Linked DNA regions of Macaca mulatta. The protein of the gene in region 3 interacts with the protein of the main gene of each other region in a biochemical or structural test. Links are inferred from orthologs where the notes say so. Each region holds a gene or a part of one and is shown on either strand. Other genes may lie near its edges.

Region 1 (7,331 bases), on a different chromosome or scaffold from region 3:
CCAAAAAAAAAAAAAAAAAAAAAAAAAAAGATTTTCAAATTAGAGTAAAATTCAGTTTCTACATCTTCTTTCAGATCCTGACCTTTTTAAATAGATTCTAATTGGAACAAAAAACCTTTGTGTCCCTTTTGAAGAAATTTCAGAAATCATGTGATCAAAGGATAAGCAGTTGACTTGCAAATTCACAGCTGCTGGTTGGCAACAGGGCTTCTGTAGTTTGAAAAAAGGTATTCTAAAAATTACCATTGTTTTTGTCATAGTATTTATTTTGATATTCCAAATAATACTAAAAAAGAGTATGACCGTTTAAAAATATAAATATATTAAAAGAGTGTAAGTTTTAAAAAATTAGATAAACATTGCTCTAGATTTTTGTGAAACATAAAATTGTATCTCTATTTTTCTGTGCCTTCTTATGAAAATACAGATGGCACAGCTTTCATATAGCTTTAACAACTTGATTATAAATTGCTTTCAAAAGTAACTTATTTGGATTTTCCATATCCTTTAATGAATTGCAAATATATTAACAGAAAAGACTTTCCCCCTCAAGACTGTACAATTTCTGAAATAAGTCAGTTAAAGCAAAAAGAAGACACAAAATTACATTGTTTCAATGCAAACAGAACACACACTTCACACCCACACTTGCATTTTCCCAGGTTTTCACAAAGAAAATGGGTCACCATATTTCTCAGTGAAGACTCATACTATACTCTGGCTAATCAGAGACTTCCAAACTTTTTTCTTCAAAAAGAGCATTTTTAATAGACTAAATACTGGTTATCACTGAGTTTTTGTTTAAGGTACAACAGCAGCATGGTTCAAATGTTACTTGTAGTTCTTGGAAAAATCAAAAATTTTAAGTGATGAATACAGAAAATGTAGGGACCACCTTTCATTATTTTGAGTACCACTGTTCTCTTGAAAAAATATTCTAACCTTCTAAAATCCCAGAGTTAAGAACCATTTCCAAGGGGAAAAACAAATCCAAGGCCACAGCATAGCTTCTGAACAAGTGTGTGTGCATATATATGTATTAGGTTGGTGCAAAAGTAACTGCAGGTTTTGCCATAAAAGTCATGGCAAAAACCACAATTACTTATGCACCAACCTAATATATGTGTGAAACAGAGAAAAGGATGTCAAACTACTTAATTTAATTTCTGTAAAATAAACTTCTGATGTTTGAAACAAACATTTTGCTTGATCAAAATGTGTTCTTCTTCTGGTTGTTTGATCCCCATTCCATGCAAAAAACAAAACAAAAAAAGAAACTGTAAAAGCCAGAAAGTGTTACAAGGTGGGAAATAAGGCTTCAGATACCTAATGACTTTAAAAGTAGGTATGAGGAAAAATAAAATAGGCCAAGCTTGGGCGGAAACTGTTCCCCAGCCAGCCATTGCCATGGCGTGTCTTACAAAACGATCCTTTTATCCTTGGTCTCAAAAAATCAGTACCAGAAAGACTCTCACCTCTGGCACAGGACATAAATTCCTACTATAAAAAGATAATTATACTTCAGCAAATTATGTTCTAAGCTTAGCTTTCTCCAGGCTTTATAACGCAGAACTCAGGTTGAAGCTTTCTATAAAACTCTAAATGACACTGTTACACAGCACCTTGTGCTTTGCCAATTAAAAATATAAAAGAATCTAAAATTACATATTACAGAACTAATGGATAATACAATAGCATATGTGTTAGAATCCAAGTGCTAGCCTCTGGGAATTTTTCATTACATTTATTTTCTCCCAACTGTTCCTTTTTTTTAAAAAGTATTTTTTTAGACAGTACATATACATAAATTTAGGTAGGGAAATCTGTTAAATATTTCTCTGGCACCTGATACCTAAACACCCTGACTTGAATTAATTTATAATTGTACCTAATCCATATTCAAATGAGATTAACAGTAAATTATAGAAAATTACTGAGTCTACAGGCTAAAATTTTTTTCACATCTTTTGTAATCCACCTTATTTTCACAGCTTGACTAACAAATACAGGTAAGGTTGTCCTTCATCAAATAATCCAAAATAATAACTGTAGGCCTGTCATTCATAAGAAACTATAATTTGTTATATTCTGACATTGGCACTTAATAAAATGTTAACAACTAAAGTTTCTCTAAAATTTCAATACATTACAATAAAGGAGATAAACAATTTAAGACTGTTTAAATCTGTTATGGTGGAATTCCAATAATTATCAATTTATATGCATAATTAAATTCTTAAAATTGTGGCCATTTCCCAAAGACACCAACTGATATTATGACAAACTCAGAAGAGAACCTATCTCCTTCTTAAGAATGTTTCTTCCCCCAAGCTAAAAATTTCCAATATCCTAAACCCAATTCTTAGTAAATGTTTTGGTGACTCACACTACTGAAAAAATCTGAAGCAGAGAGTCAAAAAGAATGGAAAGGATCTCAACCAAAGATAACCGCACATTCTTACACTCTGCTTAAGCAAACACTTAGAAAAGTCAAAGGGATAATGTTTTGAACAAATATAGATTCAAGGTTATGGTACAATTCTGATTATATTAAGGCTTTCACTATCATGATCTCTTAAAGTCTCTACACTTTAGTGTTCTCATTCTGATTGATATGGTGAACTTAAGGGATTATTAAGGGCCTTGTTTTGGCTTCTCAGTGGGGAACCACTCTATCATCTCTGAATGTTAAAGGTGATCCCACAGAGCTCAAAGAGAAGAGGCAATATGGTATGAACCAATTTTAAAGTCTGCAATACCAAGACAACAATGATCAACACTTTGAAGCAAGATGAATAAATTAAAATTCTTGGTTAGACATTAAAGCATTCTTGCCAAGAATAAGTGTACACTGTATGGAGGGATATTTGATTCCTACATACGAATCCCAATATGCCCATTACATTTGTTTATGGGAGACACTGCAAGTTGAAGGTAATTTACATTCCTTGGCAATCAAGTTACTGTTATAGGCAACGTCTTTTATTGTTCCATCTGGCACTTGCAAACACCATTCTTGAAGAACCTAGAAATGACGGTCAGTTACTCTGTTTATCAGGAACAGAACCAAATAAAAACAAATTTTTGAGAAAGCAACCAAGAAATTCTGGTTCATCACTATTTTCCATATCTAATGGTTCCTTCAAGATAAAACATAACTCTTCCTTTCATGATACTTTCCAACAAAGGGAGATTAAAGAAAAACAGAAAAGAAAGTCCCCACCCTACCCCCCATAAATTGTCATTCATACTGGTAAAAGAGCCAGTCTTGTTAGCAGCTAAATATTGCACTGCCTTTCATTCCGTATACAGTCAGGGTCCAATGAAAGTGGCACACTCATGGTATAAGTGATGGATGATGACACCGCCGGCTCAAGAGTAAAGACTCAGTATATGGAGGGACAAGAAACATGTCAGCACTAGTCACACATCCAGTTGTAAAAGTCCGATTTCCAGAAGTTAAAATTCATCACTTTCAGCTGCATGAAGTTGTGTGTCATCCGCATCTGTCATGCTGCTCTCCTGGGATTCATCTGTTCCCACTTTAAAAATAAAACAAAAGTCTACAGTAAGGTTTCTGACAAACATATCCTGTTGGTTCACGAAAACAAGAAAAATTGTATTATATTCAGAGAGATAAAACCCTAAATAAAGGCCCTTAAAAATCCTCATATCCTTTAATAAAATGCAACTCAAGTTTCCTAACTTTGTAATAGGTCTGACATTAGCTTACTGCATTTTACTTTTAAGGTTTTAACTACCAAAACTGCCTCTCCCTAATGGGTTCCTTATTCCTGCCCTAGGAATTACAACTAGCTAGTTCTCTGAGACATTAAAAAAAAAAAAAATTGACATTTCCCCAACCTCCAATCACTGACTCCACTTTAAGAATACTTCCTGCTAGTCCACAGAAACATAGACTATAACCTTCAGTTTCAAAAGGTTTATGGGGTCTATCTATCTATCTATCTATTAATCAATCAATCATCTATCTCGGTCTGTCACCTAGGCTGGAGTGAAGTGGCACAATCATAGCTCACTGCAGCCTCAAACTCCTGGGCTCAAGTGGTATGATTCTCCTGCCTCAGTCTCCCAAGTAGCTGGGACTATAGATGCATACCACCACATCCAGCTAATTTAAAAAATTTGTTTAGAAGCAGGGTCTCACTGGCTCGTCGTGAAATCCTAGGCTCAAGCAATCCTCCCACCTCAGCCTCCTGAGTAGCTGGGATTACATACACAAGCCATCATGCCTGGCTTATAATTTTTTTTTTTTTTGAGACAGAGTTTCATTCTTGTTATCCAGGTTGGAGTGCAATGGCATGACTTCAGCTCACTGCAACTTCAGCCTCCTGGGTTCAAGCGATTCTCCTGTCTCAGCCTCCCGAGTAGCTGGGATTACAGGTGCCTGCCACCATGCCCAGCTAACTTTTGTATTTTTAGTAGAGATGGGGTTTTACCATGTTGGTCAGCTGGTGTCGATCTCCTGACCTCAGGTGATACACCCACCTCCGCCTCCCAAAGTGCTGGAATTACAGGCCTGAGTCACTGTGCCTGGCCCCGTGGCTTATAATTTTAATTAAAGGTTTTCACCAAGTTTTCTGGAACAAAGGCATCTAATCAGAATTTACCTTGTCAGAAATTTCTCTATTCTCTTATTTAAAAGACTACATTCTTAGGAAGCAAATAAAACACTACTGGTTACATATTCAAACATAAATTGAGGCCCAGGTAAAAATTAGCAATGAATTTATCAAAGTCACACAGCAAACTAGATCCAGAACAGAGACTAATTATCTGACTTTATATGCATTTTGTTATTATATCACCCTGTTCAATTTCCCTAAAAGTTCATTTGGTAACACCACGGTTAGAAAAATAAAATAAAGGAGTAGCCTACAAATCCTTATGCAAAAGGTAACTTTCTAAATACTCAAAATCATATGTGTGATACTTACTGATCTGTTCTTCTTGGGTTATTGGCTCCTCATCATCTGGAAGATAGCGCTTATCAATTGCCTCTTTAATCTGGTTATTGGCTCCTTTAGGATCTAAATCCATAGCCCAAGAGAAATTCATCAGGGCGAGGTGCGTTTGACCTAACTTCTTGTAAACCTAAAAATAAACAGCAATACTACATTTTTCATTAAGTTGTGAGCTTCAACTATAAAATTCTAAATATTTATATATTTATTTATTTTTGAGATGGAGTCTTGCTCTATTGCCCAGGCTAGAGTGCAATGGCGCGATCTTGGCTCACTGCAACCTCTGCCTCCCAGGTTCAAGCAATTCTCCTGCTTTAGTCTCCTGAGTAATTGGGACTACAGGTGCCCGCCACTGCTCCTGGCTAATTTTTGTATTTATAAGTAGAGACAGGGTTTTGCCATGTTAGCCAGGCTAGTCTCAAACTCCTGACCTCAGGTGATCCACCTGCCTCAGCCTCCCAAAGAGTGCTGGGATTACAGGCGTGAGCCACAGTGCCCAGTCTCTACAGTTCTAAATATTTATAATTTAAACTAGGCTCCTGATTTATGTGATCTAAACTTATTCTAACGGTAGGACATTTTCTTCCTACAGATGAACTCATACCAGCTTTTGAGTTCCTTTTCATATAATCAGATATTATTTTCAGAATTCCTTGCTTCTATCTTTCAGGTAGTAAGTTTCCAATAAATATCACTCTGACTGGAACAATGATAATGGGATTAAATGGATTATAAATTGCTTAATTAACTTTCATTTACAGTGATTTTAAATTGAGTTATATCAACTCTTAACAACTGTCTACAGGCACCTTAACTAATTGGCATATGGGGGTCTAGTCTGTAAAAAACTGACTAGTCTGGCCTTGGGACTCTCAGAAGCCATTTCTCTTAATCAAGACAACACAGTGCCATTCATGTTCTTCTTCTTCTTTCTCTTTTTTTTTTGTTTCTGAGACAGAATCTTGTTCTCTTGCCCAGGCTGGAGTGCAGCAGCGTGATCTTGGCTCACGGCAACCTCCGCTCCCGGGTTCAAGTGATTCTCGTGCCTCAGCATCCGGAGTAGCTGTGATCACAGGCATGAGTCACTACGCCCAGCTAATTTTTGTATTTTTAGTAGAGGTCGGGTTTCACCATGTTGGTCAGGCTGGTCTTAAACTCCTGACTCAGGTAATCCACCTGCCTAGGCCTCCCAAAGTGCTGGGATTACAGGCGTGAGGCACCGTGCCCAGCTAGGATATCATTTTCTCAAGTGTTAGAACCAAATCTGTTATTCCCAGAGCACTCAGTTTGGAGCTTTAGTTGAATTTGCTCAATAGATATTGTACAGTAAGTATTAAATTTATTCTTATAAAATGTCAATATTTGCTGTGAAAGTCACTGTTTGGGACCACGGCCCCAGTCTTTACCTTTCCTATTAAGAAGTAAACGAGGGATTCTTTGGGAACAATTTGTTTCAATTCTTCAAGTTCTTGTAAAGCAGACTGAAAAAGGCAAAGAAAAACCTTAAAGTATCAAAAATTTTTAAAGTTTTGACCAAGCAATTTTTTTATTTGATTTCCCAAATCACCTTCATAAAAGCTAACTAAATCTTAATCAATATACTTCCTTATTGTATTAGTTCTTATTGTTGTGAAAATAAAACGCATACTTAAAGTAAGTACTAAGAAATAGCAGGCACTCTAGTACACTGAAAACACACACACACACAGACACACACACACACACACCCCTCTTTGTGAAATATGCAGGTGGTGACAATCCTTGCTTTTGGTCATCTATCTATCTATCTATTTATTTTTATTTATTGAGAAGGAGTCTCGCTGTCGCCCAGGCTGGAGTGCAGTGGTACAATCTCTGCTTACTGCAATCTGCTTCTCAGATTCAAGCAATTCTCCTGCCTCAGCCTCCCGAGTAACTGGGATCACAGGCATGCACCACCACACCCAGCTAATTTGTGTATTTTCAGTAGAGACGGGGTTTCACCATGTCAGCCAGGCTGGTCTTGAACTCCTGACCCAAGTAATCTGCCCGCCTCAGCTTCCCAAAGTGCTGGGATTACAAGCGTGAGCCACCGTGCCTGGCCCAGTGATTTATTTTTTAATGAAAAATAACTATATAATTTTTCAGAACAACAAAAAGTCATTGAGAAGAGTGGCATTAACATTTCTGCAAGTCTCTGTTAGTAGAAGACAGCTAGATTCTCACATCTATCTCCTCCATTTAATCTGTTTTGATATCACATATTATGTAGCTTTTGGAAAATTCTACTGTCCATTTGGGACAGAATGAAGACTGAAAAAGGTAAATAATGTCAAGACATTATTGTAAAAATAGCTCTGACCTCTA
Region 2 (7,201 bases), on a different chromosome or scaffold from region 3:
CCTTAGAAGCATTGGAGGCCAGGGCCCAAGCCAGTGCTGGAGTCACACCCAACTGCGGAGGGAGAACCCACCTGTCTCCCACCCTCAGCTCTGGGTCTCTGGGGCCAGGGCTCAGGCCCCCAACTCTCCTCCTTGCCCCTGCACCCTCGGACTTGGCCTAGCCAGAAGGGATGGGGGCAAGAGGAAAGCAGCCAGGGGCTCCAGCCCATGCCCTCACAGATTTGCCTCTCGAGTGGGGGAGCAAAGGGCTAGGGAAGACACTGGGGACCAGGCCAGCAAGTGCCTCTGCAGTTTCCTCCAGGGAGCACCAAGGTTAGGTGCGGCTTCACCGCGGGGCTGGATCGTGGCCAGCTTGGCCCCTGGGTCTGAAGACCTCTGGGCGGCCCAGGCCAACCTTGCCCTGCCGCCGCACACTCGGCTGCCCTCTCATACCCAGGCTTGGGCACTTCCAGGTCCCGATCCCCTCGTGGCCTGGCTGCCAGTCCTCCAGTATCCCTCACTCCGAGGCCGCCTCATTATTTATTTGTTTACCATGAACTGCGGGGTGGGCGGAGTAGGGGAGAGCAGGGGCGCCGTCCCCAGCCGGCGGGGGGCCCCAGCAGTGCCCGGAGAGGTCCGGGTTCCGGGCTCAGGGGGCGCGGCAGTCGGCTGAGCGCAGGGACAGGAACACGTCCGCCTTGCACTGGAAGGTCCCGCGGCCGTCGGGCAGCCGCTCGCACCTCTGCAGGTTCGGAGCGACGTCCTGGACGCACACGGCCTGGGGCGGGCGGGCAGAGGCTGAGAGGCCGCCGCGCCCCCACCCGCGTCCTGCCGCCGCACCCCCGTCAGCCCCCGGCCCGCCCGCTGGACTCACGAGGCTCCGCAGTCTGGGGTGCAGCTGCAGCTCCGGGGAGGCGCCGGCCCGGCCCGGGGGTTCCGCCCCTCTGTGGGGCTGGGAGCGCCGCGCGTACGGGGACCTGCGGAAGCCGGACAGCAGCCCCGCGGCGCGGCCCACGGAGTAGGAGCTGCGCCCCGCCGCCGGCTTGTACCACGCGAGGCCGGGCGGCGCTAGCAGCAGGCACAGCGCCAGGGCGGCGGCTGCCAGTGTCGCGGGCCGGGCCATGGGGACGCGGGCGGGCGGGCGGCGGCGTCGGGGCTCGGAGCAGCCACCGCCTGGGCCGCCTTATATCTGCGGCGGGGGCGGGCCGAGGCTGCGGGGGGCCGGGAGGGGCGGCGGGCGGGCTGGGGGTGCAGCCGGCGCGCGCGGAGGACCCGTCGCACCTGCGCAGCCCAGAGGAACCAGCCGCACGGGTGAGCGCCCGAGGCGCGCGGGGATCTGCCGCTTGGTCGGAGCCCGACGCCCCCTCAAGCTCCCCACCCACGCCGCTCGCGTCCTTCAGGCCCGGCCTGCGTGGGCCTCAGTGGGAGCAGGGGAGGGCCCACGGGCGCTCAGCGCTAGGAGTCGTCCCCCAGGAAGTCCCCAGTACTCCTGAGGCGGGAGAGCCAGCCACACTGCACAGTGCCCAGGGGGCGGTTTTTCCCACCCTGAGGGGTATTCTTGGCTCCAGGCATCAGAGTCCTTGTGGCTTGTGGGGCCCTCATTTCTTTCATGCCCTTCGGGGAAGGTTCCACCAGCAGGGCTGCTACTGACGGGGTGCTCTGGGAGCGGGGCAAGGTCAGGCACTGACCTCAGGAAAGCCACACCAAGGCACTGGGGCTCCACGATTCCTGGAGGCCCCTCTCTGCCAGCTCTGCCCCTGGAAGGGCACCAGGCAGGACTGCCAGCCGCTCTCTTGGCAGGTGACATCCGCCTTCAGGCTCACTGTGCCCTCACCATTTCATGCTCCCCCAAGGTCCTGGTCACGTCTTCTTTTGGATATCTCGCCAGGACAGGCACTGGCACTGGGGCCCTGGTACTTGTTTCTGGGTTCCGTGCTTCCCAGGTGTGATGGTGAATACTGAGGGTTATTTTGATGGGATCGAAGGATGCAAAGTATTGTCCCTGGTGTGTCCGCGAGGGTGTTGCCAGAGGAGATTCCCATTTGAGTCAGTGGCTGGGAGAGGCAGACCCACCCTCAATCCAGGTGGGCACCACCTAATCAGCTGTCAGCACAGCCAGAGGACAAGCAGGCAGAGGAACGTGGAGAGACCAGACTGGCTGAGTGCGGCCTCCATCTCTCTCCCGTGCTGGATGCTTCCTGCCCTCGAACATCAGACTCCAAGTTCTTCAGCTTTCGGACTCTTGGACCCACACCAGTGGCTTGCCGGGGGCTCTCTGCCCTTTGGCCACAGCCGTGGGCTTCTCTACTTCTGTTTTGGGACTCAGACTGGCTTCCTTGCTCCTCATCTTGCAGATGGCTTATTGTGCGACTTCATCTTGTGATAGTGAGTCAATGCTCCCAATAAACTCTTCATATACACTCTTCATATAGAGAGTCCTGTCTCTCCAGGGAATCTGACACAGATTTCAGGGGAGGCCTGGTCTACTCCCCAGGGTGCTGTGAGGAAGGAAGTGTCAACAGGCTCACACTGGGCACAGGACATTGGCCCCATGAATGCCAAGGGCTCCCCAGGTTACTAGAGATACAGCCTGCGCTCTGTCCAGAAGCAGCCTGAGACCCCAGGGCTGCCGCTCCCCCAGTGGCCCCTTCCCACAATTGTGGGGAGCACAGGAGCCTCCCAGGGCCACCCTTTCGTAGGCAGGGAAGCCTCAGACATGTGTGGACACACTTCCCAGTGTCAGGACACCGATCCCTACACTGTGGGAGGCCCAGCTCCACCGAGGAGCTGCAGACAGTCCCAGTGAGAACACGGACGCCTGCTTAGAGATGGTGGCCTTCAGTCTGGGGGTACCACAAGCAGCAGCTGCCAGCTGTGCACAGCCAGAGTCCCTCAGAGCCAGCCCGAGGGAGGGTCCAGGGCCGCCCGGCCATCCAGCAGGCAAGAGCATGCCTCAGGCCCTACCGTCTGATCCCGCTCCTTCTCCTCCCAGCTGTGACTCAGGGTTTGATGAGTGCCTTGACAGCGTTTCACGAAGATGTTTATTCATGAGAGTTTTCATATCAAAACACACCGAGACCGCATCAATATGCTGAGAACACAGGCACCCAGCGGCCTCCAGCAAGATTTGAGTAGTTTAATGAGTTTTTACTTATTGGATAAAAGTGTCAACATAGTGATGGGAAAACAAACGCAGCTCCAGCCCTTGTTTCCACCTTGTTACAGCCCAGGGGCGCTGTCCCCAGCAGCAGCTACCGCAGCCATCAGCGCCAGCATGAGGAAGGGGCCGCGGGACACCCCCTCCAGCGAGGGCCAGGCCGGGCCTCACTCCTTGAACTTCCATTCCTGGCGACACATGGGGCAGTGCTGCTGCACCTGCTGCGCGTGCAGCCACTTGAGGATGCAGTGCATGTGGAAGCAGTGGGAGCACTGGCCCCACACCAGCGGGCAGTCGTCGCCAGGCACCTTGCCTACAGAGGGGAGGCGGGGAAAAGGACAGGCATGACCAGGCTGGACACAGAGCATGTGACAAGCCAGGCAGGGGTGCAGGTTGGGACCCTGGGCAGTGGCTCCAGCCCTGCAGCCTCTCATGTTTCACAGAAGCCGAAATCAGGAGAGTTACCCAATCGGTCTCCTGACCAGCCTGCCCCCAGGCGAAGACCAGCAACTATGCCAGACATGAGGCCTCCACCCCAGGCAACCACGCCCAGGCTCAGGCTCATCATGCTCAGCGGGGAGCCCAGGGACCCTGCTGAGGAGGCAGCATCCGGGAGGAGGCACTCTGGTCTAGACCACTGTCCCGTGCTTGAGGCTGGGGAAAAAGGGCAACGTCTGACCTACAGGCCCTGAGCCCACCTGCAGACACTTGATCTGTGATGCCAAAAAGGTCACATGAATGGTCAAGGCACCAAGGAGACACACATCTGAGTAGTGAACTGGTCTCTTGATCAAGGGCATGAGGGGTGGGGCTTGGGGACCTAGAAGACCCTTCCCTAGACTTCAGGAATCCGGGGTGCCGCCCAGGCACTGGGGACGCCATGTTGATGGGCCCTGCCTCCCAGGACAGGCACAGGCTGCGGGCACCAGCCCAAACACCTAGAAATGCTTTCTCCATGGAGAGGGCCTGACAGAGAGGGATACTCATATAAGCCATGATCAAGAGAAACAAGTGTCCCTGATCTCCAAGAGCCTGGAAAACCCCATGAAACAGCTGCTGCCAGCAAAGCACAGCAAGTCCCAGCCCCAGCCCCGTGGCAGGGTCGGTCTGGCATTGTGGAGCTGGAGCTCGTGGCCGCCCTCCTGTCCTGGCGGCACCGGCCCCACAGCATGCCCACTCCCAGCCCTGGGAGGACCTGCCCATGGGGGCTTTCTAGCCTCAGCACAACTCTGCTTGAAATCACCCCTTTCAAATGAGAGCGAAGCCTGCGAGCCCCCTGAGGAGAGGGTCTGAGTGCGCAGGAGAGGCCCCGTTAGACAAAGGTGCCGCTTGGTTCTCGTGCGTTCCCCACCCGAAGCTGGCCTGGGGTGTCTGATGAGTCCGCAGATGCACTGAGGCTGACTCATTCAAGGACCTGCTGATCTCCTGATTGCATTTCTTTAAATTAAAACTCCTCTCCGCAAAACTGCATTGCCACAAGAGTCCTCTGGGATGCGGGATAGACTCACTGTTTACCAGCCTCGGGCTCCCACGGTCTTTGTTGAACTTAGCCACTCTGAATTTTTCAAAGGAGTTCAATTTTAGCAAAAGAAACCTGGTGCTGCTTAGCCCAGAAGCACATTAGACTTGTCAAACGCTTTGCACGTTAACACTGACTCACTATAACTTAACCATCAGCAGGTCCAAAAATCAGACTCTCAACTCCTTAGTGTGCAGCCAACAGGCCCCATTTTAACAAAGTCTGAGCGCACTGTGCCAGTGGAGAGATGCTGAGAGTTCAGGGTAGCACCCCTCTGGATGTCCCATCACAGGCCCAGCTGGCATGGTGCAGGCCGGGCTCTGCAGGCTGCCTGTGGACCCTCCACTGCAGTCAGTCGGGGGCTGCCTAGTGCCGCCTCTAATCCACAGGATTCACCACCCACATCTGGCCCACAGATGCAGCCAGACTAGGCGTGGACACATGGTTTGGAGGAATTTCAGAAGTTAACCTGCTGCTCCAGAAGTTGAGTGACTGCCCTCAGAGCACCCCGTGCTGTCTTTGTTACATCCTTAAGAGCAATTTAAAAGGGATCAAATAAAACCATGCCTTGTGAATGCCTAGTTATTAACCTAATTAGCTATTAAGTACAAATCCAATCAGGCAGAGTCAATCAATAATTTCCTAATATTACACCCTACCCATTTGATTAAATGAGGATTAATTCCTGAATAATAAGATTTCTGTTTAGCTAGAGCCAATGTAAAAGTTAAGCCTAGAATAACAAGTATTTGTACTGGCCAGGCACCACCCCTATAATCCCAGCACTCTGGGAGGCTGTGGCAGGACAGAGTCAAGAGTTTGAGACCAGCCTGGGAAATACAGTGAGACTCCATTTCCACACAAAAAAAAAATAAAAATAAAAATAAAAATTTATATAGTTTTGTTCAGGCATGGTGGCTCACGTCTGTAATCCCGGCACTTTGCTAGGCCAAGGCAGGCAGATCCCTTGAGCCCAGGAGTTCAAGACTAGCCTTGGCAACACAGCAAAACCCTGTCTCTACAAAAAATTAAAAAACAAATTAGCCAGGCATTGTGGAGCCTGCCTACAGTCCCAGCTACTTGAGAGGCTGAGGTGGGAGAATCACTTGAGCCCAGGAATTGAAGGCTACAGTGAGCTATGATTTTGCCACTGCACTGCTGCCTGGGTGACAGAGCAAGACCTTGTCTCAAAAAAAAAAAAAAATTGTACTAAGATTCAGTCATTTCAACTTCACCTAAAGAAGCAAAGACAGGGGTGGGCGCGGTGGCTCAAGCCTGTAATCCCAGCACTTTGGGAGGCCGAGGCGGGCGGATCACAAGGTCAGGAGATCGAGACCACAGTGAAACCCCGTCTCTACTAAAAATACAAAAAATTAGCCGGGTGCAGTGGCGGGCGCCTGTAGTCCCAGCTACTCGGGAGGCTGAGGCAGGAGAATGGCGGGAACCCGGGAGGCGGAACTTGCAGTGAGCCGAGATCGCGCCACTGCACTCCAGCCTGGGCGGCAGAGCGAGACTCCGTCTCAAAAAAAAAAAAAGAAGCAAAGACAGGGGTGGGCGCAGTGGCTCACACCTGTAATCCCAGTACTTTGGGAGGCCGAGGTGGACGGATCACCTGAGGTCAGGAGTTTGAGACCAGCCTGGCCAACGTGGTAAAACCTTATCTCTGCTAAAAATATAACAAATTAGCTGGCTGTGGTGGTGTGCGCCTGTAATTCCAGCTACTTGGGAGGCTGAGGCTGGAGAATCCCTTGAACTCAGAAGGGTGGGTGTTGCGGTGAGCTGAGATGGTGCCACTGTACTCCAGCCTGGGCAACAGGGCAAGACTCTATCTCAAAAAAAGAAGAAAAAAAAAAGCAAAGCCAGATGAGTGTGGTGGTATGCTACTTGCAAGGCTGAGGCAGTGAGATTGCTGAAGTTCAAGTCCAGCTTGGGCAACATAGTGAGACCCTGTCAATCAATATGGGCATATACCTGGCCCCACAAAAATACGCCTGGTTACTTGGGATAGTAGGGAGCTTCTCGGTCCTCCCCATTCCCCGCTGTCCTCTCCATTGCCCACTGTCCTCGGGGGAGTTCTTCTTGTCCTCCCTGGGCAAAACCTTGACCCTTGCTTCTGCTTTACGTTCATTTTGGTCTCATGAAAAACCATTTTGCTGATACAAAACTCTGCTTTCAACCTAAATGTAATCAAACTTTTTTTTTTTTTTTTTTTGAGACGGAGTTTCACTCTTGTTGCCCAGGCTGGAGTGCAATGGTGCGATCTTGGCTCACCACAACCTCCACCTCCTAAGTTCAAGCGATTCTCTTGCCTCAGCCTCCTGAGGAGCTGGGATTACAGGCATGCGCCACCATGCTCGGCTACTTTTTTGTATTTTTAGTAGAGACGAGGTTTTATCATGTTGGCCAGGCTGGTCTCAAATTCCTGACCTCAGGTGATCCGTCCACCTTGGCCTCCCAAAGTGCTGGGATTACAGGCGCCTGCCACCATGCCTGGCTAATTTTTTTTTATTTTTAGTAGAGACAGGGTTTTGCCATGTTGGCCAGGC
Region 3 (8,250 bases):
TGAAACAGCTTTTCAAGCTCTCTCTCCTCGTCAAGGATCATGAGAGGCACTCCACTCAAGGGGAGGTGCGCAATCTGGTGCTCTTCAGGCAGGTCAAAACTCTCAAAGTCTGTTACAGAGAGAAAGTGTTTTTGTCAGAGCAGCAGTTCTCAGTGTGGGCTGTAGACTCCTTGTGGTCTGAGACACTTTCAGGGGGTCCATGAGGTCAAAACTATTTTCATGACAATATTCACACCTTTTCCCACTGGGTTGACATTTGTGATGATGGTACCAAGGCAATGGTGGATAAAGCTGCTGGTGCCTCAACACAAATCAAGGCAGTGACAGTAAACCATAGGAGCAGTCTCTATGTTCTGCATCTTTCTGCACTTGTAGTTTAAAAATGCCAGTTTCACTTAATGTCACTTCACCATATGCAGTAGAATGTATTAATTTTATTAGCTCTCCATCCTTGAGAAGATGTCTTTTTAATGTTCTATGTGATAAAATGAGAAGTATGCCATAAAGCACTTCCACTGCACACCAAAATACGATTATCTCAAAGCAAAAGGATTTGTGCAATTGTCTGAGTTGCAAGCTAAAACTAGAGAACTTTTTCCTGGAATACTGTTTTTACTTGAATTAACAACTGCAAGAAATCCCATGGTCACTCAGACCTGGATGCCTGTCACACTTTTTCTCAAAGGCATGAAAGAAGTCCATCACCTCAAGGAAAACTGACAGGCTTTGTTACCAACGGCAGAATATAAAATGTCAAAATTTTGTCAAAAACCAAAAAATGAATTTTTTTTTTTTTGAGACACAGTCTCACTCTTTCACCCAGGCTGCAGTGCAGTGGCACAATCTCTGTTCACTGCAACCTCTGCCTCCCGGGTTCAAGCAATTCTCCTGCCTCAGTCTCCCAAGTAGCTGGGATTACAGGCGCGCCCACCACGCCCGGATAATTTTTGTATTTTTAGTAGAGACGGGGTTTCACCATGTTGGCCAGGCTGGTCTTGAACTCCTGACCTCAGGGGATCTGCCAGCCTTGCCTCCCAAAGTGCTGGGATTACAGGCATGAGCCACTGTGTCTGGCCAAAAGAAGGAATTTTGGAACACTTAACTGCAGTCATTAGCTTGACAGGTGCCTTAGACTTTTCTGATGAGATCAGTTGTGATATTAATGTGCTTTTGATATTATATAATCTCAACATATGAGTATCTACATATCTCAGTGAATCAATATTTCTGAATGCTCAATGCAAGATAGATGCAAGAATAAAAGATACACTCCAAGTGCAAAACAGACCGATGGATTTTACTGTCAAGATACAAAATGCTCATTGATATGCTTTCAGATTCCACATTGCAATTATATATTCAGAAACAGCCACTTGTGGGTTTTAGTGTAGTGGCAAAGAAAACTATCCACGCTTATCTGAAAAGACTATTAAAAACATATCTGTGTGAGGTCAGGTTTTCTTCATATATTTTTCAAAAATAGAAACCATGCCATTCTTCTCAAAACTTTTCCAAAACAAATATTTTATGTTAAAAAAAATTTACATTAATGTAATGTGATTACTTAGTGAATATCTTAAGTTTTTCAGTTTTAATTTCTAAATCTTTGTCCTTAGGTATGAAAGTTCTCTAAAGCCTAAGTACTCAAGAATTAGTCTGCTCTTTTTCAAGCCTGGTAAAACCCAGAAGTCAAGAAAGAATTGAATGATATGTGACTATTTAGCTTAAAACTACTGAATTGTAAAGGAAATCATAAACAGACAAAAGACTCCAGAGGAAAGAAGTCTGCAATCTAAGGGGAGCTAATTTTATCTACAAAGAGCTCTTTAATCAAAGAAAAACACAAACAGGAAGTTAATAAAAGAAAAACTAAGTGGCCAATAATCAAATATGCTCACCACACAAATTTAAAACAATAAAATATTTCTTTTCTGATAAAGATTAGAGTTTTAAAACATTGATAGTGAACATGGAGGAAGCAGCCATCTTCATCCACTGTAGATGGATTTAACAATTTACACTATTTTGAAGGGCCACTTAGCAATATCTCTTTCCTCTAACACAGGATACTGTGGTCTTCATTCTTGATCAATATGCATAAATCTACCTCATTTTTCCCAATGGCTGAATGATAATTATTAGCACGATGCACCACATTTTATAATTTTAAAACTTAATCACACAAACCCTCGAACCCAGCAATCCTTCTCAGTTTCCCTCCTGATGTACTCACAAACTTGCAACGAGATCATTTCAAGAATACTAATCGTAGAAATGTTTCTAGTTTCTAAAAGCCAGAACAATCTGAATGCAAATTAGTAAAAGAATAACTACATGACCTCTTTGGCTAAATAAAAGGGTAAAAGATCCAGCTCAGAAATCTGTAAGGCCCTCCCTGATCTGCCCCCACACCTCACCTGTATCCTCCTTCACCGTGCCTGTATTTTTCCTAGAACCACTTCAGTCCCTTTTCCTACCTCAGGATCTTTGCACCACTTTGACCTACAATGCTCTTTTTTCCGGCTCACACTCACAGTGAGATGGCTTGTCCAGCATCTGACTTTCCCTTCAAATTGTGGGCTCCCATAGGCAGGGCCCATCTTGTTAAACAGTGTGTCCAGCACCTAGCGATGCCTGACACACAGTGGCTTCTCCTCAAATGGCTGAGTAAATTAAAGCTTGAAAAGCTGTTTCCAAAACAGAAAATACTTCAGATACATGTAGCAGGTTGAAGAAATTTGAAAAACACGTCTTCACTGTCTTATGTAGATTTTTCTAACCAAAGAAATAATCCTACCAAAGCACTCTCAGGCATTGACATAAAGCTCACTTTCTAAAAGGCTTGTGAGAAAGACTGTCCACAATGGGACTTATTCAATATTCATGAATACATCTTACCTCCTCTAGGTGATAAGCTTTTACAGACAGGAACAATGTCTTCTGTATCTTTGTTCCTATTCCCCTCCTGATCTAAGATGATACCTTGCAAATAATTCCATCAACAAGTACATTTGTCCAAAACGACCCAGATTCAGACAGTCTCATTATAGTTTTTGGTCATATATTATATTCATATCAAGTTACAGCTGAGCTGAATACTAAGAAACTAAAGGCCAAAAGCACTTTTTGCAATTACAAAAGATACTACCTAGAGGATTGAAGGGAAAGAATTTTTCTATTTCTGGATAGGCATCGTCTGAGGCAGGAACAGAACTTTTTGTTTTAACAGTCTTCTCAGTCATCTAGAACAGCCAAAGAAAATATGGGTTAGTGAGAGTGGATGTCTTATTAGCTGATTAGTTTTTAAATTTGTCAATTTCATGCTGCCTTCTAAGAAGCCATAATCCTTAGTTTTCATAATTACACCTAAATATACTTCAAATAATATGATTCAAATGTAATTCGAGTAGCATGACTCAAAAGTTAAAATCTGAAATGTAAGTACCAGCACCTGTCAGCGTAAGTTATCAAGAATGCAGAGTTAATTCAGAGCTAATCAACGCAATTATTCAACCTAACAGAGGAGAAAACGGGCATGAATCACCCAGGATAGTAGCTAATCATCAAAGCCATTTTTGGCTTATAGGAGTGTGATTTTTCTGCAAGTGTTACCTAATTATGTACTTGGTTAATATTAAAAACAAGTTTGTGTTCCTCAAATACACTGAGTAAGAGGCAGCAAGACACTGTCAAGGACTTTAGAAAAACGCCATGGGCAATCTCCTAGTCTGGAGTTGACGGGTCTACTACAGTCTACTACAGAAGGGTGCTACAATGGAAGCCGGCATATTCCTGATTTATCTCACCTCACATAAGCATGCCTAGAACTCCCTATGGGGTTCCCACACTTCGGTTCTGTGTCTCATTGTTTTTGCCATATCTTTGCAATTCCTGTATTTAATATTTTTAAGTTAATTCACTTTTTTAAAAAGACATCCTTGTCCTAAGTTGCACTACATGTAATTCACCAGTTGTTTCCTAATGCAAATTAAACAAAACAGTTATTCAAATAAAGTGTTAATCCTCATGCTAACGTCATCTTTCACAGCAAAGTGCTCTCAGTCTGGGATACACAGACCTGTAGCTTGTGACCCACACTCACACAAACATCAACATGCTAGCAAATTGTCACCTAACAAGCTGCTGCTTGCCCTGGAAGGCTAGGCGGAGAATGGCAACACCTGTGCTATTATAGCAGCAACAGAACCTCTTAAGGCACCCTCTCGCTCAGTACGTATCTGTAAGTAGATACCACCAACCAGTTTTAAGACACTAGTTAAGGACAGGTGAGGGACAAATATGCATTAGCTGCATCTGAGATTTCCAATCTCAAGGCACCAAGAGGTCCACAAGGACAATCTGAGTTTCCTCCACTACTCTGCTTGCTAACCTCTATCTCCCTTCTACTCAGAGGGAAGAAAGCTGGGTAGGATGATGCCAATCGTCATTTTAAGAGTCAAAAGCGCTTAAGTGTTTAAACAGTGTCTTTATAGCCAACACTTACCTTTTTGGCAGAAAAGTTTGGCTGTTTTTGTTTGAGGGGTCCCTTGGTCTTTACAGACTTTTCTGTAGCTCTGTTGACGGTTCCCAAAGCCTTTCTTGTAGCTTTAGGTAAGGCTGGTGGAGCATCGAACGTTTTGCCAAAACGTGGTGTTGAAACTTGAGATCTCCCATCTAAGGCTTTGATTGCTGAAGAAAAAGTCTTACTATAAGAATATTCCAGCAGCAAAATACCTGTACAACTTGAATACTGTGTATGTAAACTTGACCTAACTCTCACCCCCAAACCCACCCCCCATTATTGGTAGTGGTATGGCTACGATAGGCCTAATAGCTGAGATTCAGTACTCCCATAAATCATCTCATTAAGATACTGAAAATGAAAAAGGACCAATAACAGACTTGACTCCATTTGCCCAAAAAGTACACTAAATGTCTCGTCCAGCTCCAGGCCACGTACACAATAGCAGTGTATCCGACTGCAGCCTTGTGTACTTACAAGGTCCAGACCCCAACTTCAGCCCATCCTTAGCAGCCACACGGGTGCCTGGTTCTCCATTTTCCTTATCAACATAGATTAGAGTAGCCATTCTGGATTATTCTAAAAATGAGAAATACATATTAGATACTGGGGAAGGTGGGAGAAGCAAAGGTATAGCAACATACCAAAGTTTTTATCCTAGGGATGTCCACACAAAAACAAGAGCTAAACAGCGGGACAGTCACGGGCGTGAGCCAACAAGTACTTAATCCAGCTCTCAAATCTTCCAGCCTGAGTCAGAGGCTCTAAGGTCCCAAGGAGCAGGCGGTTTGGGGCTGGCACTCTTCAGAGAATTGCCGTGGGTCCAGTTCGCAGTCCGAGACCGCGCTCAAACAGGCTCGGAGCCATCTACGCCCCAGGCAGTCCCCCAACCCCAGCCCCAGCCCCAGCTTCAGCCCCAGCCCAGCCCCAGCCCGCCTCCTTCCCCACCCGACCACGCTCACCTAACCAGCCGCAACCCTCCAGTTCACTCACGCAGCTTCCAACAGCTACATTCGTCTAAGGCGGCGGTGAACGGACGCGGCGCACTCCCGGTTTAAACCACAACTCGCGGCCCAATTGGCTCTTCCGCTCAAGAGGCGGGGTCGGGGGCGTGGTCACCAAGCCGAACCAATGGAAGGGACCTAAGCAGCCAGGACTCCGCCCCAAAAGCTCTTTCTTGCAAACTTTGTGGCACGTTTTCTGGGGAAAAAAATCTAGGGTCGTGTAATATTTTAAAAAAAAATTGAGAGGCTTTTTTTTTGCTCTCCATATTATTAAGCTGCATGGACTGTGGTACTGACTCAATAACAATGTTTTATTGCTTTAAGATATATTTATTTAAATGGCACCGTAGAAAGGATGGAAAATAAATAGAAATATTGTAGAAATGGTCGAAACAACCAACGTTGGGTCTAAAGAATACTAGGAGAGAAAAATTTAAAATTAAGAAGAAATTTAAGTACAGATAGATCAAACAGCAGCGTTTGAGTCATTCTCTTATGCTTATGATTAAGAACGAACTAATCATTCCCTAATCTGAGGATTATCCTCAATACTTCAGGCTAAGATGCTGTTTCTGTTATACCATCACGAATCTGTTTTAGGAACAAAATTATGATTCTAATGAATACATAATTTAGTCTTCCCTTAAAATCCTATCATTTAATACTGATTTATTTTAAACCTCTAAGATCTCAATAATACACTAACCAAAGCTGTCTGGAAGAGCTTGGCCAGGGAGCAAGAGAACATCAGAGAGATAATAAAGATATAAAAAAGGAATTCCAGTTTCCCAGATATGAAAAGAAATTTTGCTTGAAAAAGTTGACGACCTTTTCCTGTTTCTATAGTAAAATGGAATACACTGAACAACCACAAGATAAAGGTATACATTCAAAAGATAGGGCTGACCTGTGTCATTCAAACTCGGCTTCCCACAGGTCACCATATATACATTTTATACCTGCAGATCAGCTGAGAGAGAGGAGTTGATTCCATATTACTCTTTCACAAAAGGCTTAACACTATACCTGACATAGACATGGTTCTCAATATATGCCAGTTCATCATCTCTTCTTCCCTGGCATTTCAGGACCAATATTGATTGAATGATTCATTCATTCACAAATATTTATTGAATACCTATTAAATGGTGGACTTTATACTAGGTATCAAGAAGAAAAGAGCCTAACTTAAGGTGAAGAAAAGAGGAAAGACATAAAAATATGCATACCTTTATTGTCCCTTCACTGCTCTCTTTCCTTTATTCCCACCCCTTATTTCCTCCTGTATCTCCTAAATTTTACATCATCATATTATATTATCAGCACTCAAAGTGTTAATTTTTGAGACTAAATCTTTACAACACCTATAGCTTCGAAGTGGGGATTCTCTATCTACAGAAGTTTTGGGGTGCAAGGTTTATCTCCTTAGGATGTCTTCTTTGTTTCACCAACAGAAAGCATTGTTTCTCCCAAGGCCATGCATCAGCTGTAAACCATAACCACCCTCTCTTTGAATAACCACTGTTTTCTTACTAATGATGCCCTCAGACCAGCTTTGCTATTACTATTACTGAAAATACTCAATTGCTAAACCACCCTCACTCATAACAGCACTTAGTCCCTAATCAGTTTCTCCTAATCCTGCTTTACAAACAGCAACCCATCCAGAACCAATCCCGGCTTTCCTAGACCTTCCTCAGAATCCTCCAGAGGGACCTCAAGTCTTAGAAAAGATTCAACTCTCTTGTCCTGGGCTTTCTGATTCTTCTTCGAGATGTGCTCTCCTGGTGGTTTTGGCTAATTAGACCTTAACACTCCTAAGCAAATTTCAGGAATGTTTTTAAGTGGAAAAAAACAAAGCCTGAGTGATTTATAGACTCTACTCACTTTCACGCCAGTCTCTGTTTCTTCATCTACTGCCCTGTAAAAGCAGAATTAATATTTATGCTCCTAAACTCCAGGTATTGCAAATTGTTAATACGAAAAAAATAGATTCTATTATGTTGGGCTATTTTATTGAGGCAGGAATGGTAGCTATTTTAACTTTTACATTCAAAAACGATACACGTTATGGGGGGGGAGGGGGAGAACAACCAGAATAGAAAGCACAAAGAAAAAAAAATCACAAGAAATTCTACTACGAAAATTAGTTTATTTTCCAGTATTTTATTTCACATGTATACTTTTAAAGAAGGGATGGGATAGCATAGATACTAATGTTTCTCCAAAATGGAAATCGTCGTGTTTTTTCCTAATGATAACGTGCCTTATGTTCTTACAGCACCCGGTATTCCTTTCATAGCAACTTTTACAACTGCTAAATTACCTGAATAGTTGTTTCGGTGTCTTTCGCACTCTGATGTAAATTTGAGGGAAGACACTGTGTTCACCAGATCCCCAGCATGTTACACAGCCTGGCTACTAGTTACTGCCAAGTTTAACTGCCTTTTTTTTTTTTTTTAAGCTGATACATCACCAAATTCTGCATTCATTTCACAGCCCCCTGGTGAGGCTTAAGCTCTTGTCTGTTTTGGTTTTTTTTTTTTTAACTTCCTAAAATTCTCCGATTCTAAAAGAAAGTTCCTAAATAGAAGCTAAAAGAACCCGCCCAACTTGAATCTCTCCACAAGCCGGGTAAATAGCGCGATAAGCACAGCTAGAGTTCTCGCGATTCCCACGGCGCAAGAGGACCAAAGGCCTCCACTCCTCCCGCGTCCCACCAGG
Region 4 (8,225 bases), on a different chromosome or scaffold from region 3:
CCTCTGGCTGCCCCCAGGACCACGAGGAGCTCAGCAGGATGCCGGGGGTCCCAGTGGCTCCCAGGCCGGCGCGGCCCTCACCTCAGGTAGCGGCGGATGGGCTCACAGGCGACCTCCAGGATGACCATGGAAGGGTCCAGCACACGCAGCGCCTTGATGGCAGAGATGTAGAGGGTGATGATGTCACACGTGTTGACGCCTAGAGACAGGGCAGAGGCCAGCAGTCATGCAGTGCCCGGGACCACAGCCTCCCAGGGGCCAACGCCCGAGTAGACAGCTGGCCATGCCGGTCAGGTGGTCTACAGGTCCCCACTGCAGCCTTGTTCCCTTGTCCCCCCATCCCCATCTCTACCTGCTCACAGGCCCTGCCCTGCAGGGTGGTCTGTTCTGAGAGAATTAAGTCTCATCACCTCAGACCTACCAGTCAGTCCCGACTCCCTTCAAAGAAGAAACAAGCAAGCTGATGGGCACTCGAGATCCCCTAAGGACCTCGCCAACTGCTTCTCCACCCATTCCTTCCTTAGACCTACAAGTCCAGGGCTAGCAGACTGGGCCCCAGGCTCCCTGGACATGGGCACCCTGGTGAGTGTCTAAGCCCCGAGCGCTGGGCAGCCAGGCAGCACACGGCACCTGGATGCAGGAGCCGAGTCTCCAGGGCAGCCTTGAGGGACACGAGCAGCTGCTGCCTCTGGTCTGTCCTCTCCAGGCAGTACTTGAGGTCCTCGATGGCCGGCCGGGAGTCTGGAAAGTCTACAAGAAGAGGAACATCCCTCAGGGACGAACACAGATGTGTGTGCACGTGCGGGCTGGTGCAGGGTGTGTGCAGTGTGTGAGAGGACATGCGCTCGCCAGCCCCAGGAAGATGATGAGACCACCTGCTAGGCACCAGACGTCCCCCCGGACACTTCGGCGTGCTGATGCATTTGACCACAATGCCACAGGGTGGACAGAGCAACACCCAGGGGCCAGTCCCCAGCAAGAGCCAAGAACAAGGGAGCATAGCAGTGGACACCTAGAAGCACCGTCCAGCATCTGCCACACCTGCCCTGATCCAGGCATAGGGGACACCCACGGTGGGGAGGGTCCCAGCCCTGCCCGGTGCACCCCCCTGCAAGAGCGACAGCGAAGGCACGGGGAGCCCAGACGCAGACACAGAGGAGACGCGGCGAAGGCCCTGGGAAGGCTCCCCAGACAGGAGAGAGGACCCGAGGCCGGGGCGGGACAACCTCGGATGATGCTGAAGAGCTCCTCGATGCGCAGGCTGGCGTAGATGCGGTAGAAGAACCTCTGCACGTGGCAGCGCCAGCGGCGCAGGGTGTTGCCAGCCTCAGGAGACGCAGGCCTGGCGGGGCCGTCCTGCAGGAACACCTTGCCGAGCCAGCCGACCACCCGCTCGATCCACTGTCGGGAGAACGCTAGCGTGAGCTGTAGGAAGGCACGGTGAGCCCCAGGCTGACTCACAGGCTGGGAGGAGCCTCGCAGCCACCCACTGTGTCGGCCAGGACCAAGGGGAGCCCGAAGGCCACCTGTGTCTGGAGGCGGAAGCACATCAAAACCTGCAGGGTGGGTGATGGCCCAAAAGGCAATGTCCCGGCCCCCCTCTGGTCTTCATGCCTCTCACACGCACCAGTGCCCACACTTATCACTGGCAACAGCAGCCCTAGCATAAGACGTGATGGACACACATGGCCTGTGCGCTGTGCCTGGCGGGCACATTTGCCCCCACTTAAATGGATAAACACGCTCTTGAGACCAAACATGTGACCAGCCCCCACTCCCCCGCCATGCAGATGACACCGTACATCGCAAGAGCGTCTCTGAGTGAGCACAAACCCCTAGACGGCAATTCCACCGCGGGGTCCCAGGCGTGCACACATCCCACAGACCTGCTACCCAGTAACAAGACCGCACAGATGTTCACCCTCTCCACCCGACTGCCCACTCTTGCCCACCGCTGCGGGGACGCCCTCTCTCTCTGAAAGCCTGACATCACAGCCAATCTGCACCTCAGTAGGTGGACTCCGAAGCACTGAGGAAAGGACAGGTGACATGTGGGAACAGGGTAGGGGGACCCACAGGGGTGGGCCCAGCTCCCCTATGGCCCTGGGAGCCCAGAGCAGAGCCCCAGACCACACCCCAACAGTGCAGAGGCCTGGAGGCCCCATGTGAGGGTGTCTCGCCCCCGCTGTGGTGCAGGCCGGCTGTAGGTCAGTCCATGAGGGACCGGCCAAGCAAGTCCACACTCAAGTAGGGCAGCAAACAGGAGAAGGGGGTCCATTCACTGGCCCTTCTGGTGGGCCTGGCTTCGTCACACCTGCCTGGGGCAGCCCCTGGGGACCCTGGCCCGGTATTGACTGCAGCCATGGGATTCTGAGCAGATCTGGTGAGCGCACCTCAGACGTGTCCTCGCTGTCACCAGGGCCCAGAAGTACTGGTCTCTACCCGACATCAAAACAGCTCCAGCCACCACCCGGTCCAGGCCAACCCAGGCCTCCACGCTCTGGATGCTTCCAAAGCCAGGTGTCAGGTTGGCCAGAAACCTACTCCCCTGTCCCCAGCGGGGCACAGCCCAAAGGAGGGGCCCTCACCTTGTGGAACTCACGCAGGAAGGAGCGCTCGTACTCGCCTCGGCAACGGTCCTCCATCCTCTCCCGGGTCACCTGGTGTAGGGTGGTGGTCACAGCCTCGGCACTGACCCGCTCCAGCAGACTGAGCCTGTGTCTAGAGGAGAGTCCTAGCCATGGGGCACCCACAGCACACACCGGCCCCTCTAGCCCAGAACAGCCCCATGCCAGGACGGTCCTGCCTGTAGAGTGCATGCAGCACACACACGCACACCCCCACAACCAGCACGCACCTCCCCACAATCCTCAGCTGTGGGGGCCACTGTGCCTGCCAGCCCCGAACCAGGGCCTCTGCGACCCCTGAGGAATTTCCAGGCAGCCATGTCAAGGTCCTCAATCCAACACATTCTCCACTGAACAGCCCTGGGGAGTGTCTGTTCCTTGTCAGGGGAAAGGCCAGGACAGCACAGAGCCACTCTCCTTGCCTGGTTGGCCTGGAGCGCTGGTACCAAAGGCTTCAAGAAGCCACTCGGAGCACAGAGCACTCCCAGGCTCTGCTGTCCCCACCCAGCTGGCCTCTGTCCAGGTAGGGACACTGGACTTCCCCATGTGATCAGTGGCAGCAGGTGTGGCTGTCAGGGGCCCTACCCTTATCTCCTAGGATCAACTCTGAAACGACACCCAGTTGCACCGCTGCCCTGGCCCCAGAGACACAGATGCCACTGTTTGTGCCTTTCAGTGCAGTCTGTGGTCTACAGTGGCAAAAAGACTCCAGAGGAGAATGAGAAAGGTTGCTGTGTAACTTTTGCTGGGATGAGCCCAACAGAAGCCCCTCATGGTCACCCTGACCTCTGCCAGCAACAGGACCACTCCTTTAGTCCACCTAAGACCTCTCAAATAGCTGCGTGGCCATACCTCTGTTCAATGTGACAAAGCCACCACAAATGGCCGAGGGTGTGACAATTGCTAGAGGACTACAACAGGACCTGTCTCTCACAACAAAACCCTCTCCTCTCCAGAGAACCAGACAGGAGACCACTTGCCCTCACAGTGACCTGATCTCCCTGGAGAGAAGCAGCAGCAGGCTTCTGTTCACAATTACGGGGCAAGGAATGTCGACGAGGGTGAGAATCATTCCTTGCCTCAGGGTCGACAAAAGTCACAGTGGAATTCTGCAGAGTTCAGAAAGTTTGGAGTCGCTAAGAAATTTGCTGCTGCAGACAAAAGCCACATAGGGCCTTACCACGGGCAAGGCATGAATCCGTGGGACTGCAGGTGAGTGACAGAAGAGAGACACCTGTGTCCAGGACACACTGCACAGGAACCCCAGGGACTCTCTCTCTGTCATGTTCCTGGTTATCAGGACGGCTCACCAGCTTTCTGCAGAGGCCAGCTGGACCCAGGGGAGCAACCAGTAGGAGCGAGAGCACGGCCATCAGGACAGACTACTCACAAGACCTGGCTGAGCTGATGGAACTGCTCCAGAGCCTGGCGACACCAGCACTGTTGCTTGTCACTGCTGCACCCTGCGCACAGCGGGCTCTGCAGGAGCCGGTAGTACCGGCGACGGGCATACCGGCTGTCCAGCTCCCCCTCCAGTTCCGGGTCTGTGCCCCCTTCCCCCTTCCTCTTACTCTGCATATAGACTCTCAAGAAGCACCCATACAGACGCTGGATCATCTCTTGGAAGGTTCTGGGGGTACTAAAGAACAAGACTCCGCGCAACATAGTGTGGACTTTTTCTCGCAGCCCCTGAGCACCAGTGCCCATCAGCAAGCCCAGGCGAGTCCATTTCTCCAGCAGCTCTAGGCTACGCAGGTAGGGATCCAGGCGGCTCTCCAGCAGGCCAAAAGCGTCAAGGAGCAGCAGAAGGCACTGGGGCTCATCCGTAGAGTTCTCGCATTGGGAGATGGCATTCCAGAACTCAGGGGAGATGTTGGCCTGCAGATCGTTCTGCAGCACCTCTACGAACCACTCCTCCAGGACCGAGTGCAGGCCGTGGCCCCTCAGAACCTCCACCGCCGCCCGGAGCTCCTCTTCCTTTGGCGGGACTGCACCGCTGGTCCGGGAAGACACCTGGAGCGCAGAAAACCGTGAAGCGAGGGGAACACAACATAGAGGTGGGGAGAGGCGGGGAAGGGAAGAAGCTGAGGGGTAGGCTGCAAAAACTCCGCTGCCCCCTGTCCGTGGTGTCCGGACGTTGGGCCGAAACTAGGGAAGGGCTGCCAGCGGAGCTGAACGAAATGAAGTGGAATGGCGGTGGAAAGCGGCAGGACAGGCCAGAGGCGGATGACGGACAGAGCTGTATGAACCCGAAGGTGGCCGCCCCAAAGTGCATAGGGTCCCGGAAACTCCGCGCGGGGCCGCCGCTCTCTTCCCAGGCCTCACCAGCCCCAGCGCAGCTGGCGGCACCAGGCCGGTGCTCACGGTATTCCAGGCCACTAACAACTCCTGTCCGGGCCGGGAGTCGCTGTCCCCCTCCGCCACCACAACTGCCGCCGCCATCTGCAGCCACCGGCTCCGAGATCCCCTCGGCACGGCGCAAAGCGATGACGCAAGTCTGCACGCGCAGCCATGACGCGCACAAGGCGCTCAGCGATGACGCGTAGTTCGGCGCGCCGTCAGGGAGTCGTGCGCAGGCGCGGACAGCGCTGGTTCCGCGTCGGTTGGGGTGGCGGGGCCCCGGGCGGCGTAGACCATGACCCAGCAGGGCGCGGCGCTGCAGAACTACAACAACGAGCTGGTCAAGTGTGAGCGGCGCAGCCGGGACGGGGAGGTCGGGAGGGCCGCAGGGCCGGGTTCCCGGCTCGCAGCGGGGTGCCCCTGGACCCGCCTAGTTGCGGGCATCGCGCAGCTGAGCAGAGCCCTCCGTGCCGGGGGCTGGGTGTCCGTGGCCCCGAGCCCTCGTTGGCTCGCAGGCCCCGCGCCGGGTGCTCGGGGGTGGTGCCTGACTCTGGCTTCCTCGGGTGGAAGGAGGCCCGCCCTCCGCCGCCGCGCTCCTGCCCTGGGCCCACAGCCCCGCCCCTCCCGGCCCCCCAGGCATAGAGGAGCTGTGCCAGAAGCGGGAAGAGCTGTGCCGGCAGATCCAGGAGGAGGAGGACGAGAAGCAGCGGCTGCAGAATGAGGTGAGGCAGCTGACGGAGAAGCTGGCCCGCGTCAACGAGAACCTGGCACGCAAGATTGCCTCTCGCAACGAGTTCGACCGGACCATCGCGGAGACGGAGGCCGCCTACCTCAAGGTGGAGCTCGGGAGGCCAGGCGGAGCATCAGGGGATAGCCGCGGCAGGGGTGTAGCCGCGGCAGGGCGTCAGGACCGTCTGGGGCTCCCAGCTGTGGGCAGTCTGTGCCTCGCTGGCATGTCGGGCAGGAGCAGCGTGGCCAGGCCCATTGAGGAACCCAGGCTGCTGCGGGAGTGACCGTGGGGCTGTCTGGGGGACCTGGGGCATCCTGGGTCCTGGTCTTCATCCGGTTCTCGCTAGCCATGTGGTTCTTTTTGCTTAGAGTGTGAAGAGCCACGTCTTGGGCCAGTGCTAACCCAGCCTGGCTTTGAGGGTGGGGAGGAAGTGTTCCGGGTCAGATTCAGGAGGGAAGAGGGCCCTGTTACCCCGTCTGCCAGTCCCCTTGGGCTTCCGCCTTCCCCCGCACAGGATCCCTTGGCTACAGCACCCACAGCCAGGTCCCAGAACCTGAGTGTGAGGACAGCTGGGGCTTAGGAACTTCCCAGCAGGTGAACAGTAACAACTTTCTCACTTCTCTGGCCCCAGATTCTGGAGAGCTCCCAGACTTTGCTCAGCGTCCTCAAGAGGGAAGCTGGGAACCTGACCAAGGCTACAGCCTCAGACCAGAAAAGTAGCGGTGGCAGGGACAGCTGACCAGACCACGGGCAGGGCCTGCCTCTGTGCGCCCCTCAGCTCAGCCCCGACAAGTCTGTCCTCAGAGCGTCTTTGTTCTTCACAGCAGCAGCTGCCTTCCCTCACTGTCCCCGGTGCCGAGAGGGGCGGCTGCCAGCCTCTACTGGCATCATTGACAAGCCAGGGCACAGCCCACCCAGGGGCTTCGTGCTCACACGGGCTGTGGGGATGGTGGGTTCCAGGTCAGCTCTGCAAAGGGCCTGTCTCTGTGGCACCCACACTCCTGCCCTGCTGGGGAGGCCCTGGTTGTCTGAGCACCATGGGGGCCCCCTCAGCTTGTCCCTCCTCAGCCAGCAGAGGCCCAGGGCAGGGGACAGGGGTTCTCCTTCACCCCAGAACCCAAACCTCAGGGCTCACCCCTGTGGCCTGTGATTATCAATAAAGATTATCTTTGTAAAGGTCCGTGCCAGCCTGCTGCTTGCCCGTGTCAACAGTGTGGGGCTGCCAGACACCCGCAGAGCCAGAGCCTGAGGCTCCCCCTTGGGAAAGGAGGGAGGAGGCGTCTGGAGTGGTCTCCCTATGACTGCCCAACTAGCCTCAGGGACACCGCTGAGGGTGCCCACCCTGCCCAGGCCAGCGCCACCCTCGGCCCTCCCCAGCAGGGCCGCTGGTCCTCTTCCCCTGACTGGCCCACGGCTCACCCTCCTCTCAGCTCTGCTCGCTCGTCCTGTTCTCTGCCACACCCTGGTGTCCAGCATAGGACCCAGCCCAGAGAGACAGCTAGGGATGCCAAGCATATCTAGCAGCTGCCTCAGACTCAGGTCTCTCTCAGCAAGGACTGGGGGGCTTCACACCCCCTACCCCCACCAGTTCCTCCTTGCAAGTCCTGCTTGGCCTGATGACACCACTGCTGCCACCAGGCCCTGCTGCCCCTTTCCCTGGCCGCATGCCAAGCACTGGCCACCTCCATCCTTCTGCGTGCCCTGGGGCCTCTGTTCTGTCCCTGCAGCAACCAAGCACTGCCTGAGGACTGGGCCTATTTGGGAAGCGTGTGTTGATCCAGAGGGTCCAGAAAAGAGCTGGGCCCACCCCCCAACCAGGGAAATACACCAAACTCTCCCACCGGAGTCTGGCCAGACAGCAGCGCTTTGCTCTATGGTTTGGTTCTCCAGGGAGGAAACGGGGCTTGGGTTCAGAGGGTTGTAAACAGCCCCAGATCTGGCTGCCCGGGCAGGTGCTGATCCCCACTTGCCTCATCCTGTGGGGGTCAGGGGGCACGCCAAGCCCAGCAGGAGACACTGTACCCTGTGCTGCCCTCATGCTGCCCTTCCCTTGGTCCCTCCACAGGCTCTGGGCCCCTCAGAGAAGTCACTTCAGGCCCAACAGCTGCAACACTCACCCTCCCACCTGAAGTCTAGGCCCCTGACAGCAGGCCTGGCATCCTACCTCCCACAGTGCCAGCTCTGGGAGGCTGGGGTGGAGGGGCAACAGGTTAACAGGCCGTAGAAGTTGGGGGGTCAGAGCCTTGGCCACTGGGACATCAAGGAGTGGGGGTACCAGACTGGGGTCCCCTCCCACACACCCTGGCACAGACGTGCAAGCTGGGGCCCACTGGACCCCATGTGGCCTCTTACTGCAGAGACCTGCCCCTGCTCCCCTCTCAGCCAAGGACCACGCAGTGGGGATGCCAGCAGCCTTGTCCAGTGCTGTTTATTGAGTCCATCGTCAGAGGCAGGAAAGATGCCACTCATCACAGAGGGCATGGGGGCTGCGGGCAGGGGCTTAGGGTCCTGCAGAGGACAAGTAGCTG

The links.
Region 1: the proteins of PTTG1 (region 3) and CDC27 form a complex in vitro, tested with the Homo sapiens proteins (3 studies listed by BioGRID). The link is inferred for Macaca mulatta from reciprocal best matches to the Homo sapiens genes PTTG1 and CDC27.
Region 2: of the proteins of PTTG1 (region 3) and ANAPC11, one has a biochemical effect on the other in vitro, tested with the Homo sapiens proteins (3 studies listed by BioGRID). The link is inferred for Macaca mulatta from reciprocal best matches to the Homo sapiens genes PTTG1 and ANAPC11.
Region 4: the proteins of PTTG1 (region 3) and ANAPC2 form a complex in vitro, tested with the Homo sapiens proteins (2 studies listed by BioGRID, with this or other methods). The link is inferred for Macaca mulatta from reciprocal best matches to the Homo sapiens genes PTTG1 and ANAPC2.

What each region holds. Positions count from the first base shown.
Region 1 is NC_133421.1:71,403,094-71,410,424, forward strand, and holds the end of CDC27 (cell division cycle protein 27 homolog), read right to left. Parts: intron 6,467-7,331; coding exon 6,392-6,466; intron 5,135-6,391; coding exon of another isoform or gene 5,116-5,134; coding exon 4,959-5,115; intron 3,543-4,958; coding exon 3,460-3,542; 3' UTR 3,105-3,459; downstream 1-3,104. UniProt on the Homo sapiens protein: Component of the anaphase promoting complex/cyclosome (APC/C), a cell cycle-regulated E3 ubiquitin ligase that controls progression through mitosis and the G1 phase of the cell cycle.
Region 2 is NC_133421.1:91,559,395-91,566,595, reverse strand, and holds the end of ANAPC11 (anaphase-promoting complex subunit 11), read right to left. Parts: intron 3,450-7,201; coding exon 3,304-3,449; 3' UTR 3,171-3,303; downstream 1-3,170. Other genes in the region: NPB (neuropeptide B precursor), read right to left, coding at 629-757, 854-1,102. UniProt on the Homo sapiens protein: Together with the cullin protein ANAPC2, constitutes the catalytic component of the anaphase promoting complex/cyclosome (APC/C), a cell cycle-regulated E3 ubiquitin ligase that controls progression through mitosis and the G1 phase of the cell cycle.
Region 3 is NC_133411.1:169,277,033-169,285,282, reverse strand, and holds the start of PTTG1 (securin), read right to left. Parts: upstream 5,553-8,250; 5' UTR 5,485-5,552; intron 5,102-5,484; 5' UTR 5,091-5,101; coding exon 5,000-5,090; intron 4,690-4,999; coding exon 4,505-4,689; intron 3,243-4,504; coding exon 3,149-3,242; intron 110-3,148; coding exon 1-109. UniProt on the Homo sapiens protein: Regulatory protein, which plays a central role in chromosome stability, in the p53/TP53 pathway, and DNA repair. Probably acts by blocking the action of key proteins.
Region 4 is NC_133420.1:5,264,220-5,272,444, reverse strand, and holds the start of ANAPC2 (anaphase-promoting complex subunit 2), read right to left. Parts: upstream 5,088-8,225; 5' UTR 5,070-5,087; coding exon 4,953-5,069; intron 4,641-4,952; coding exon 4,018-4,640; intron 2,722-4,017; coding exon 2,589-2,721; intron 1,402-2,588; coding exon 1,227-1,401; intron 751-1,226; coding exon 631-750; intron 200-630; coding exon 82-199; intron 1-81. Other genes in the region: microtubule nucleation factor SSNA1, read left to right, coding at 5,263-5,314, 5,604-5,803, 6,329-6,436. UniProt on the Homo sapiens protein: Together with the RING-H2 protein ANAPC11, constitutes the catalytic component of the anaphase promoting complex/cyclosome (APC/C), a cell cycle-regulated E3 ubiquitin ligase that controls progression through mitosis and the G1 phase of the cell cycle.